Linked DNA regions of Saccharomyces cerevisiae S288C. The gene in region 1 interacts genetically with each later gene. Each region holds a gene or a part of one and is shown on either strand. Other genes may lie near its edges.

Region 1 (4,670 bases):
TTTATCAGTGATGTCGGAAACATCGTCATCGTTTTCCAACCCCCAAATAGACAATTGCTTAGCAGCGTCACGTCTTTCGTTGGCTGTCAATTCCATGGACCTCAAAACATTCTTTTCAATCTTAACCAATTGAGACAACTTTCTGGATAATTCTGGGCCAAAAGCTCCAGCAGCACTTCTCCTAAAGCTGTAAGCTAGACCACCCTTCCCAAAGAATCTACCTTTGGTTGTAGATGGTGGTGGCGGTGGGTTCTGTAATTGAGAGGCGGTAGGTGCCCTGGAATTTCTTAAAGAGTAAGTTCTGTGCATACTATATACTTGATGCTGATATATTCTTCACTTTGCAATACTGCTAACAATGGAAAAGTATAGGTAAATAAATGTGCAGATGCAGATGTGAGACAAATTTTCTTTCTTGGGTTGGGATAATCAACGCATTGTACCCAAACGACGGGAAACAAGGAAGGATGCAGAATGAGCACTTGTTATTTATAAAAAGACACGGGAGGGGGAATCCCGTCTTTCGTCCGTCGGAGCCAAAGAGATGAGCCAAAGCAGAAAAACAGGGGACGCCGCCCTTCTTCCGTCCCGTGCGTGAGGGGGGCGCGGCCATTCGGTTTTTGCAATATGACCTGTGGGCCAAAAATCGAAAAAAAAAAAAATAAGAGGCGGCTGCGGAATTTTATAAGACAAGCGCAGGGCCAAAGAAAAAATAATAATTGACGTGGCTGAACAACAGTCTCTCCCCACCCCTTTCCAAAAAGGGGAATGAAATACGAGTTCTTTTTCCCAATTGGTAAATATTCAACAAGAGACGCGCAGTACGTAACATGCGAATTGCGTAATTCACGGCGATAACGTAGTATTTAGATTTAGTATAATTTGAACCGATGTATTTATTTGTCTGATTGATTTATGTATTCAAACTGTGTAAGTTTATTTATTTGCAACAATAATTCGTTTGAGTACACTACTAATGGCTTATTGTTTGGCATTTGTAGCGGCAGTCAATTGCGCTTGTTTGATCAAACTTTCCGGAGCATCAAAGACGGGCAGTTTCAGTTCAATTAGTCTGATCACCGAGTTTTTCTGGAACTCTGAATCAGTGGTTAAGGCATCCCACTCACCCGTAGTGGCGATCTTGTGATTTTCGTACTTTTTCGCACCAAATGCGGGCAACAGGGCGAGGTGATCCCAGGTCTGGATTTCGTTGTACTCTGCGTGAGGCCCATGAATCAGCTTTTCGATAGTGTAGCCGTCGTTGTTAAGGACAAAAAGATACGGCTTTAACCCCCATCTGATCATGGTGGAGATTTCTTGGACGGTTAACTGCAAAGACCCGTCACCTATGAATAAGATGACTCTCTTGTTGGGGTCAATCTCCTCAGCGGCAAAGGCAGCACCTAAAGTTGCTCCTGTTGTAAAACCGATGGACCCCCACAACACCTGCGAGATACCGTAGGCGTCCTTAGGAAAGATAGTTTGATTGATACCGAAGGCAGACGTGCCGGTCTCGGAAATGATAACATCACCTTCTTGCAAGAATTTGGACAATTCGTTCCACAACCACTCTTGTTTCAAGGGCGTGCTAGCAGGTACACCTTTGTTTGCGGGAGTTTTGGTTGGTACGGGAACGCTCTTGTAGCCCTTAACAACATCGGGAATAACCTTCAGTAAGTTTTGTAGTGCAAATTTCATTTGTACACCGAGGAACGTAGCGTTCTTCACCTTTACGTAATCGGAATGAAACTCCACTACATTTTTAGTCTTGTAGGAGTAGGAAAACGAACCTGTGTTAAAATCAGAGAGCAAAGCACCGACCGAAAGGATCAAATCAGCCGACTCAACGGCCTGTTTCACGTCTTGTTTGGACAGCGTTCCCACATAAACACCGCCATATCTGGGATGCTGTTCATCTATTGACCCTTTACCTAGAGGTGTCACAAAAGCTGGGAATTGCGTCAAATCAATTAACTTCTGGGTTTCTTTTTTAACGTTGTGCCTAGAAGCACAGGCATCCGATAGTATAACAGGGTTTTTCGAATTCTGGATCAATTCTAGTACGGTATCAATAACTTCCTTTTCAGCTTCGGGATCGTTAGGTTTTAATGATAGATCAATCGGTTTTTCCAAAAGAGAACCAGGAACCTTTAGATCTACCAAATTCGCTGGCAACCCCAAGTAGCTAGGCCTTTGTGTTATAAATGTTGTCCTGATCAACCTATCGATTTCTGAAGGGGCTGTAGCAATGTCTGTAATCATTGATGTAGTTTCTGAGATATTGGCGGACATTCTGTGAAAAACGGTAAAATCACCGTTACCCAAGGTATGATGCAACAACAATTGCTTAGCCTGAGCGGAGATAGAGGGGACACCAACAACATGCAGTACACCGACGTGTTCTGCATACGATCCTGCAATACCATTCAAGGCGGATAATTCACCTACGCCAAAAGTAGTTACCAGCACAGATAAACCCTTGATGCGTGCGTAACCATCGGCGGCATAGGCGGCGTTCAGCTCATTTGCATTACCAGCCCATCTCAATCCATCTACCTCGTAAATCTTGTCCAATAGGGACAAGTTGAAGTCGCCTGGTAGCCCAAAAATGGTGTTAACATTAACTTGCTTCAATCTTTCAAATAAGTATTTTCCAAGAGTAATTTCAGACATTTTGTTGGCAATATGTTTTTGCTATATTACGTGGGTTTTTTATTTATACTGTATATAAAAGAGGACTGCAATAGCACAAGATTAAGATAGAATGGCTTCAAACAGCCGCCTTTTATACATATTGGTAAAAGCTCGCGAATCGCACCATATCCCTTATCCTGTAATCAAATCGATCTAGGTGCAGATACAGATCAATTCATAAAAAGAAATTGAAGCACCAGTTTATCACTACTACACTATCTTTTTCTTTTTTTTTTTTTTTTGCGAAGTTTCGCCCTTTGTTCAATATCACTTGATAAGTTGTGGGCTTTTTCTGTCACTCATTCGGCTTAAAAAGTATTCGTTCTTTTGTGTTTTATGAAAAGGGAACGTGATATAAAAAAACATCCTTTGGTGTGGGACATGGGCTTTTGTTTAGAGAATGGTTATCACTACCGCCCCCACCCTTGAAAGCCACAGAAAATGAAAAAGTATGTGAATAAGGTGTGAACTCTATAACATTTTGGCCAAATGCCACAGCCGATCTGCATATTCCAATGGACATAATGCAACAACAATTGATGTCACATTCTCTTACACACTTCGATTGGTCCGTACGTAGTACTTTTTACATAACTGACTCAGGCGTTTCCTTCATTGAAATGCTCATCTATTGCCAAGTACATAGAATCCACAGTGCATAGGTTTATGAGATGCTTGGAAGATGTACGATCGCCTGCACTATATTAGTATATTTTTTCAGGCTTTACAAAACCAGAAAGAAATTACCGACTGTAATACTTAATTTCCATGATTTTAATCGTATGGTCCGTGAGGAAAGAGGAATTTTAGGTAAAAAAAAACCTTTGTCTATCAAAACATAAAAGAAAAGAAAAAAATTAAATTGAATAAGTCAGCTTTTTAGCATGACCACAGTAATAATAGTAATACGATATCAGCATGAGCTGCTAAACATTAAGAATTTTTGAATTGTGTTCGCTGGTAAGAGAAAATAGGGTAGCATTAGTTGCGAGATGGAAAATTAAAATATGCGTCATAAGGTATTTTCGACGTTGAAGATTAGGGGTTGCAAGTCCGAGAACTAAACTGCCTTCACGACGTCAAACTTATTGTATGGTGACAATAAAACGAATTCAAGAAGCCAGAGATGATGAGGAACCGATGACGAGGCACATGGGGATAGAACCTCCGTTATCTCCATTCCGCGTTGAGCAGCTCTCCTGCGTGCTTTCACAGAGACCCTAAGCCAAGACCGCGGACGGCCCTCTTTTTCAAGGGGATCACCGGTAAGGGGCCAAGCGGTGAAATTGCGTATTGTTTCCTCCTATCAATGATGAGTACGTCGCCGATCCAGAAGGGTTATTATTGTCATTGCCAGTACTATTCGTATGCTGAAAAAGTATAGTTCACTTCACCCTCTGGCTGCAGGCTAGCCTAGCCGATAATGCCCCCGACTCCCTCAACAGGTAGAATTTGTAAGGATTCGACGTAGCCTGGACACATTGTGCATTTATCGTATCCCCTACTGCTACACGTATAAGAAGTCGTTGCTTTACCTCTATTCCAGAACTCAATCTTGTCGTTACTTGCCCTTATTAAAAAAATCCTTCTCTTGTCTCATGCCAATAAGATCAATCAGCTCAGCTTCACAAATGAACGTGTTCGGTAAAAAAGAAGAAAAGCAAGAAAAAGTTTACTCTCTACAAAACGGTTTTCCGTACTCTCATCACCCATACGCTTCTCAATACTCAAGACCAGACGGCCCTATCTTACTGCAAGACTTCCATCTGCTGGAAAATATTGCAAGTTTCGATAGAGAAAGAGTTCCGGAGCGTGTAGTCCATGCCAAAGGTGGTGGTTGTAGACTGGAGTTCGAACTAACAGATTCTTTGAGTGATATTACATACGCCGCTCCATACCAGAATGTGGGTTACAAATGTCCTGGTCTTGTTCGTTTTTCCACCGTTGGTGGTGAAAGTGGTACACCAGACACTGCA
Region 2 (3,862 bases), on another chromosome or scaffold:
TTTTTTCAAAGCTGTCTCCACGTGGAAAGTTTATTTCATCAAAACTATTATCAAAAATTGTGGTTTTGTTAATACAAAAGCTGATATATATATAATATGGCATTTAGTGATTTTGCTGCCATATGCTCAAAGACCCCGTTGCCATTATGTTCGGTAATAAAGTCTAAAACCCATCTAATACTTTCGAACTCAACAATTATACATGATTTTGATCCTTTAAATTTGAATGTCGGTGTACTGCCACGCTGTTATGCTCGGTCGATTGATCTTGCCAATACAGTCATCTTTGATGTCGGGAACGCATTCATAAATATTGGTGCTCTAGGTGTCATTTTAATCATACTTTATAACATAAGACAGAAGTATACTGCTATTGGCAGGTCTGAATATCTCTACTTTTTCCAACTAACATTGCTATTGATAATATTTACCTTGGTGGTAGACTGTGGTGTATCTCCCCCCGGCTCTGGGTCATATCCATACTTCGTGGCTATACAAATAGGACTGGCGGGTGCATGTTGCTGGGCCTTATTGATAATCGGGTTTTTAGGTTTCAATTTATGGGAAGATGGGACTACAAAGTCCATGCTGTTGGTCCGTGGAACGTCCATGCTAGGATTCATAGCCAATTTTTTAGCCTCTATTTTAACCTTCAAAGCATGGATCACCGACCATAAAGTAGCAACAATGAACGCTTCAGGGATGATTGTCGTCGTTTACATAATAAACGCCATTTTCTTATTCGTTTTCGTTATTTGTCAATTACTGGTATCCCTATTGGTAGTTCGAAACTTATGGGTCACAGGAGCTATCTTTTTGGGGCTATTTTTCTTTGTAGCAGGCCAGGTATTGGTTTATGCCTTCTCTACACAAATTTGTGAAGGGTTCAAGCACTACTTAGATGGCCTCTTTTTTGGAAGCATCTGTAATGTGTTCACATTAATGATGGTTTACAAGACTTGGGATATGACTACCGACGACGACTTGGAATTTGGTGTAAGTGTTAGCAAGGACGGTGACGTGGTGTATGATAATGGATTTATGTGAAATGCTTCTTTTTTCTATTACCATATATAGAAAATAGGTGTATACTATTAGTTTAATGTAATAAGCAGGACTATGACAAACCAAAGAGTGAAAGTAGCCGTTTCCACGTTTTAACGGCTTGTGTACACTTTGACAGTCAATCAGCGTAGTGACTTCTTTTATCAGCGGAAACAACCATATCCATAAAAGAAACGTGATGGTCGTTCCCGTAGTTTATTAAGTAAGATGACAAATTATCCTTCTTTAGTCAATTGAAAACAAAACTTCTTAATCTGTTTCCAATGTTTTAAAGTCGCTCATATGTTCATGACTACTTTTCCATGAGAGGGTTCTACGAAAAGCATCATCTTATTTTCGCAACGCTGCGGGTTTAGGCCTTTCCGCTGGTCTCTTTTCTGTTTACAGTTCTGCCCGAATGTAAACAAATACTTTGCGAAAAGTAAATAATGTATTCTGAAAAAAAAAAAGAGAACTGTGAACAATGCTTGATAGTTGTAGGAATATCTTAGAAGAAAGGGGATAGATTATCTGGAAAATCGTTTGAATAAAATAAGAACCAGTAATTCATTCGTTTAAATTGGAAAAACAAAACATAAAAGAACCAGCAATGTCTTGGTTGCCTGTTAATGTAAAAAGTTCTCCCAAAAGATGACAGGAAACTCGTTAACTCATACTCGGTATATAAGAGGAAACTTATCTAATGTTTCATTCATTCTTCCTCTTCTGCTTATTCGATGTCTATTGAAAAACTTCAAGTAAACCAGCAATATCGACTTCCATTAAGTAGACAGCGAGCCTGAAACAAAGAATATACTGTTTCAATTCCAACTAAAGCCACTCCCTCAAGCGTTATTATTTTTTGAATTATATTTTCGGGTTTTAAGCTAACTCTAGTCATTCCTTACTACATTTTATTGTAACTCTTCAGTAGAGCTAACCACAGTCATTCCTTAATATTTTTTAACACAGATCTCTTTCACAGAGTAGAAATAAAGCCACTCCTTTAACAAATTACAAAGAAATGAAATTTAATTTTTCTACAATTTTCAATATCTTATTCTTTTTATTCACCTTAATTGAAGCCAACAGCAATGGGGAAACAGTCAAACTTATTACTTCTGATGGTATTGTTTACAGTTATGCTGTCTACACAAAGACTCTTGCGCCGGCAAGGGTTGTGGTTAAAACGATTTCATATACTACTACAAGGGTATATCCGATTACTTTAGCTAATTCCGTCGTTTCTTCCACTACTGAAAAGATAACAGAGGTTTCAACGGTGTCAGCTTCAGAACAAGTTAGTGCTACTCAAACAAACTCATTGGTTTCTACTTCTACTGTTTCCACTATCAGTCCAACGATTTCATCTGGTTCTTCAACATCCTCTAGCTCTACATACGATATCGAATCATCTCAAAGTATCGAATCGTCAGGTACATCTTCCGCTACAGCCGAACCATCTGCGTCTTCAGGTTTTCGTTTGACTTCTAGTTCTGCTTTTGTTTCATCTACTGCACCTTTCTCTTCCCAACTTTCTTCATCTTCATCTTCTGAAACATCATCCTCATCATTTTCAACATCATCATCATCTGCCCCTCTTTCCTTAACTTCTTCTTCTTCTTCTTCTTCTTCTTTCGCCACTATTATTACCTTGGCACCATCGAGCTCAAAAAGCGGAAACTCTCAACTAACTTTGGCGTCATCGTCTTCCACTTCCGCAGTTGAGTCATCCCAAACAGGGTCCACTATAGCAAGAACTACCTCTACACTGGTACCCTCTTCTAGCGTAGATACAACGTCTAGAGCAACGACATCCATGCCATTAGAATCGTCTTCTACGCAATCGATATCCGTCTCCAGCTCGGATGGCACTTGTTACGTTTTTTATGATGATGATGACTACTATAGTACTGTCTACTTAACTAACCCGTCTCAATCCGTTGATGCCGCCACCACTATAACTAGTACAAACACAATTTATGCTACGGTTACCATTTAGCGCTTAGGCATAATGGTGGTGCATTCTTTTCTATTTGTTTTCTCAGGCGTATTTTTTCCATTATTTTTTGTTAAAAATAGTAAAAAGACAGTATTATTTATTCATTTTTCCTCGTGTTGTTATAACGACTAAGTTTCCTAATTTCTTTATTTTGTTTTTTTCTCATGATCTTTTCATTTTGTAGTTTCAACTATTATATACAATGTGTATACTATAACTTAATTTTATTAGTTACCTCTTACTAAGGATACTGATTCTTCCCCACTCATTTCATGAATTCATCACAAGTCTTTAGTATTTTTCATATGGAAATTACATCACCTATATATATCAAAATGTTCCGGCGAGTACATTGTCAGAATCTACAGTTTTTCCTGATATGAGCAGTGATATGGAGAAAGAGACACTAAATAAGAACAAAATATTGCCGTAGATTTAATGATTCAATCATGTGTGTCAAATTTGTTCTCCATTGCATCTTCCTATTTGACATTTGTCTCATGACCACGACATTGTACATTACCAGGTAAGGCTACAATTAGCCTCACCGATGTAACGTTATATAACGCTGCGGTCGTAGAATATGATTTTTCTGAATTTTAATTTTTTTTTTTTTTTTTTTCATTTCTTTAACATCTAAAATAGATTTTAGAATCAGAAAAGTGAAGAGTATTCCACATCATCGACTTATTCTACCAACATTTAATAAGAACGTACCCAAGAATAAAAGTCCACAAGTATAACAATGTCTCGCGAAGGGTTCCAGATTCCAACAAATTTAGACGCCGCAGCTGCAGGTACTTCTCAAGCTAGAAC
Region 3 (4,825 bases), on another chromosome or scaffold:
AATACTGATACCTCATCAAAATGAAAATATGTTTCTAACGGAACTGTATTAGACCATGCGCTCAGTTAGCTGGAGTCGCGTTGGTTAACAAATTAACTAAATTCACCATTACTTTACTTAAAGACCTATCACCACAAAGGAAATGGCGATTCTACAACAGGACCAGCTTCACTGTTTTTACCGTTGATTTAAAGATCACCTTTTGACTATTTTATATGCCAATTCAGAAACCGTTATAATAGAAGTTTTCTACTACAAAATTTACAGGATGTTGTAGCTTGATTGCATAATATTTTTTTAAAACGGATAACCACCAACCCTCGTCAGTGACTTCCCATTATGAAAATTTTCTCTTCTAATCCTTTTTGGTACCCTTTTTCCTATCATGCGCCTCGAAACAACTTCCATAGTACGTGCCTGCTACTGTGAGTAGTTTACTGCCGCAGTCAAACACTATACTGATTCAGCATCCATCAGTAAGTGCGCGCTAAAACGACAACTTTTTCGTACCTTTACAAGTAAGGAGTGGTTAAGGTGTATAGCTCATACTAGATATTAAACTTCGGAGAAAAGTCCCTGTTTCAATGACAAATATGAGTTGCACAATAGAATTTTTATATCTATGATTACGCTTGGTAGGATGAAACTCTTAAATTCCGTTATAAGTTTTATAAATCGCCGTAATTGCAAAAATACAGGGTGATGCGTATAAGTCTCATAAAAATCAAATCATTCCCTCTATTGCAACCATATCAAATTTTGATGATGATTATTTTACAATTTTCATTGCCATGGATGAAAATAAACGCTGATATCTTTATAATTAACCCGGAATGGAAATTGTGCACAGTACATCAATGGCGTTTCGAGTATTAAGACCTGTGATTTAGAGCCAATTAGCCAAGTAAAGCGACATTTCCTTTCTATGTTTGGCATCTTTTTTTTTTGGCCTTAAAACAGTGTTTCTATAAAATTAAGGGCCAACTCTTACAATAGTAATGAGATTAATAAGGCCCAAAGAATATTTTGGCCATTTCTTTTTCGTACAACCATATAGTTTTCTCAAGTAGCGACGAAAGAGAGATAACTGAAACAAAATGTCATGGAAGAAGTGCTTATATTAAAAAATCTATGTCGGAAATATTTCTATAGGGAAAAGTATACTAAAATCTTACTCGAGCTTTGAAATGAACAAGCCTAAACCGCCCAATTCCAAGATCTTTAATATACTATAACTTGAAAGTCATACCTGTTATATCACTCCAGAGGTTATTGTGGGAGCATATTTAATGCTTTGTGGGTAAGCTTGATAAACTGTAGTTCTACCACTTTTCCCAGGATACTGATTATGGTAAAAGTTCTTATTTGTCTTACGACTTAGATTTAGCACTCACATTTGTCATCATATGTTGAAAAATCAAGCTGGAATTTATTGGTGGATCTTTCATCTCCATTTATACTTTTTACTTGTTTTTCTCCAAGCAAAAAGATTTCACGTTGTTCGGGAGGTAAATATGAAGTAGGAGAGCAGTCAGGTAGAGTGGTTATCCCATCAGCCAGAACCTGTCCGTAAACAGGTTGTGGACTACAGTATGTGTGTTTTTTTCTTTCTAATTACTCAATTTGGATATTTTGGTGACTATAAAGACCTCTCGTAAATTTCTGAAAATATGCTTCGGTTCGAATCTGTGGTCTGCAGTGCAGCGTGTTGGTATTTTACCGACAGTTTTAGCGAAATATGTATAGATCTGTCACGCTTGCAACATCGCGACAGGTCGATATACTAAAATTACAGCATGAATTTCTGATCTATAATCACACTGTTGCAGTTTCCAGAGAGTCAATCATATTAAGTCCTCAGTTTGAATCAATGTTGGCTTTGTTCTTCTGGAGAGGAATCAGCTCGTTATATGTTTGTCTTTTTCTCTGCTCGAGAGTCATCGCGACATTCCACACCCCGCGTTTTACGTGCACAGAATCTTTCGTAGAAGGGAGCATTTGACATCCTGTCAGCCATATGCAATGAGTATGCCACAAGTTCATGATAGTGTTGACTATAGAATATAAAAAAAAGGTGGGGTCATCTGTAATCGTTGTTTGTAATTCTTAGAGGCCTGTTCTTGGAATTATTATGCAAAGATTACCATCACAAAATCTAACACAAATAGAGATACAGGTCTTGTAAAGCCATTACCTAGCTATGAAAAACTTATCTTTTCTCATAAACAGAAGAAAGGAAAATACAAGTGACTCGAATGTATACCCAGGAAAGGCTAAGTCGCATGAACCCAGCTGGATAGAAATGGATGATCAAACTAAGAAGGACGGCTTAGATATTGTTCATGTTGAGTTCAGTCCGGATACAAGAGCGCCAAGCGATAGCAATAAAGTAATAACAGAGATATTTGACGCTACTGAGGATGCCAAGGAGGCAGACGAAAGTGAAAGAGGAATGCCACTTGCGACAGCATTGAATACATATCCCAAGGCAGCAGCTTGGTCACTATTGGTCTCTACAACTTTAATCATGGAAGGGTACGACACAGCTATTCTTGGAGCTTTCTACGCCTTGCCTATTTTTCAGAGAAAGTTTGGCTCACAAAATGACAAAACTGGAGAATGGGAAATTTCAGCGTCATGGCAAATCGGGCTGACCTTATGTTATATGGCAGGTGAAATTGTGGGGCTACAGCTAACGGGGCCCTCCGTGGATCTTGTTGGAAATCGTTACACATTGATTATTGCATTGTTTTTTTTAGCTGCCTTCACTTTTATACTGTACTTTTGCAATAGTTTAGGCATGATTGCTGTGGGACAAGCATTGTGCGGGATGCCATGGGGTTGTTTTCAGTGTTTGACGGTGTCTTACGCTTCTGAAATATGCCCATTGGCTCTGAGATATTACCTTACAACCTATTCAAACTTGTGCTGGTTATTTGGACAACTTTTTGCAGCTGGAATCATGAAAAATTCTCAAAAAAAATATGCGGATTCAGAATTAGGATATAAACTACCATTTGCCCTACAGTGGATTTTGCCAGTTCCTTTAGCACTGGGAATTTTTTTTGCACCTGAATCTCCATGGTGGCTAGTTAAAAAAGGAAGGTTTGATGAGGCAAGGAGATCACTTAGAAGAACTTTAAGCGGCAAGGGACCTGAAAAAGAAATACTAGTAACTCTGGAGGTGGACAAAATAAAAGTGACTATAGATAAGGAAAAGAGACTCACAAGTAAAGAAGGCTCCTATAGTGATTGTTTTGAAGACAAGATTAATCGAAGAAGAACGAGAATTACTTGTCTCTGCTGGGCTGGTCAAGCCACTTGTGGTTCAATACTAATAGGTTATTCAACTTACTTTTACGAAAAGGCTGGCGTTAGTACTGAAATGTCCTTCACTTTTAGTATTATTCAATACTGTCTCGGTATTTGTGCTACATTTCTATCTTGGTGGGCGTCAAAGTATTTTGGTAGATATGACCTTTACGCTTTTGGACTAGCCTTCCAAACCATTGTTTTTTTCATTATTGGCGGTTTGGGGTGCTCAAGTACGCACGGTTCCAAAATGGGAAGTGGTTCTCTTTTAATGGCTGTAGCATTTTTTTACAATTTAGGAATTGCCCCGGTCGTTTTTTGCCTAGTCTCTGAAATGCCATCTTCAAGACTAAGAACGAAAACAATCATTCTAGCACGTAACACTTATAATGTGGTCAGTATCATATGTAGCGTTCTCATCTTATACCAACTGAACTCTAAGAAGTGGAACTGGGGCGCTAAGTCAGGCTTTTTCTGGGGTGTCTTATGCTTTTGTACTTTAATCTGGGCTGTGGTTGACCTACCAGAAACTGCCGGAAAGACTTTCGTGGAAATAAATGAGTTATTTAAACTTGGAGTTTCTGCAAGAAAGTTCAAATCGACGAAAGTAGATCCGTTTGTTGTCAAAACCCCCCCTAAAGACGTCTCTCATAACGACCCCAAGGGAGATATCGAAGCTTCCATTGCAGAGGAATAGCAATGTATCCCATCACTTATGAGCTAATGAACATTTATCGACACAGGTAAATAGGTAACTATGGTATTTACTCTACATGTTACGGAGTATAATACACGTAGATTTGTTTCTTCCTCATATTCCCATGACATGTCTCAGTAATTGAACTCAAAGTAACATTTAGCTTTCTTCTTGATCATTGCGTTTGGAAATGTATAGTTAGAGAAAAGATTCTTTCTCATCCGAGTATGGCGCGTGAAGAAAATGAAGATGGAGTTGTCGAAACAAATGGTCATCGACATTAGTTTAATTGTCATAGTAACAGTCTGGGCACTCACTTCGTACATCCCTTATACATTTAAGTGCAATTTTACCTATTCTAAAAATAGAAAAAATCTCGAATGAGCAGTTCTGGCAGTACTGAAACTGAGTTAAAAATCTATCAACTGGAAGTAATGCGGTAGTTTTATATATGAGCAATATATGCCGTCAAATTATATGTACAGTAGCTACCAGAGCGGTTATTATATTGTTCTTAATCAATAATAAACAAATCAGAGTATATTTCATAATTTCCTCTTACATTTTTAAGAAAAAAGGGTAACATTTATTCCTCATTGATCCTATCTTTCAATCCTAATAAGCGACAATATTCTTAGCATATACGGGAGAGTTGCTCTCACTCATATCATATAGCTCTCTATATGTGTCAGCGCTCTGATTTGTAAAATAACATATTCTTAAGCTTTTTCCGCCCATTTTACAATATTAGATATGAAAAAGTTAGTTTTTAAGTCATTAAACGTGTCTACTATTTAAATTTTTATTTTTCGGTGT

What was found.
Region 2: mutations in PDC6 (region 1) and DSE2 together harm fitness more than expected from each alone (negative genetic interaction), as found in Saccharomyces cerevisiae (one large-scale study listed by BioGRID).
Region 3: mutations in PDC6 (region 1) and MPH3 together harm fitness more than expected from each alone (negative genetic interaction), as found in Saccharomyces cerevisiae (one large-scale study listed by BioGRID).

The regions. Positions count from the first base shown.
Region 1 is NC_001139.9:650,309-654,978, forward strand, and holds PDC6 (indolepyruvate decarboxylase 6), read right to left. Parts: upstream 2,674-4,670; coding exon 982-2,673; downstream 1-981. Other genes in the region: lipid-binding protein PIL1, read right to left, coding at 1-309; CTT1 (catalase T), read left to right, coding at 4,326-4,670. UniProt on the Saccharomyces cerevisiae protein: Minor of three pyruvate decarboxylases (PDC1, PDC5, PDC6) implicated in the nonoxidative conversion of pyruvate to acetaldehyde and carbon dioxide during alcoholic fermentation.
Region 2 is NC_001140.6:383,442-387,303, forward strand, and holds DSE2 (Dse2p), read left to right. Parts: upstream 1-2,068; coding exon 2,069-3,046; downstream 3,047-3,862. Other genes in the region: CHS7 (Chs7p), read left to right, coding at 97-1,047; DNA-directed RNA polymerase core subunit RPC10, read left to right, coding at 3,792-3,862.
Region 3 is NC_001142.9:737,192-742,016, reverse strand, and holds MPH3 (alpha-glucoside permease), read left to right. Parts: upstream 1-2,200; coding exon 2,201-4,009; downstream 4,010-4,825. UniProt on the Saccharomyces cerevisiae protein: High-affinity uptake of maltose and maltotriose. Also transports alpha-methylglucoside, glucose and turanose but not melezitose or trehalose.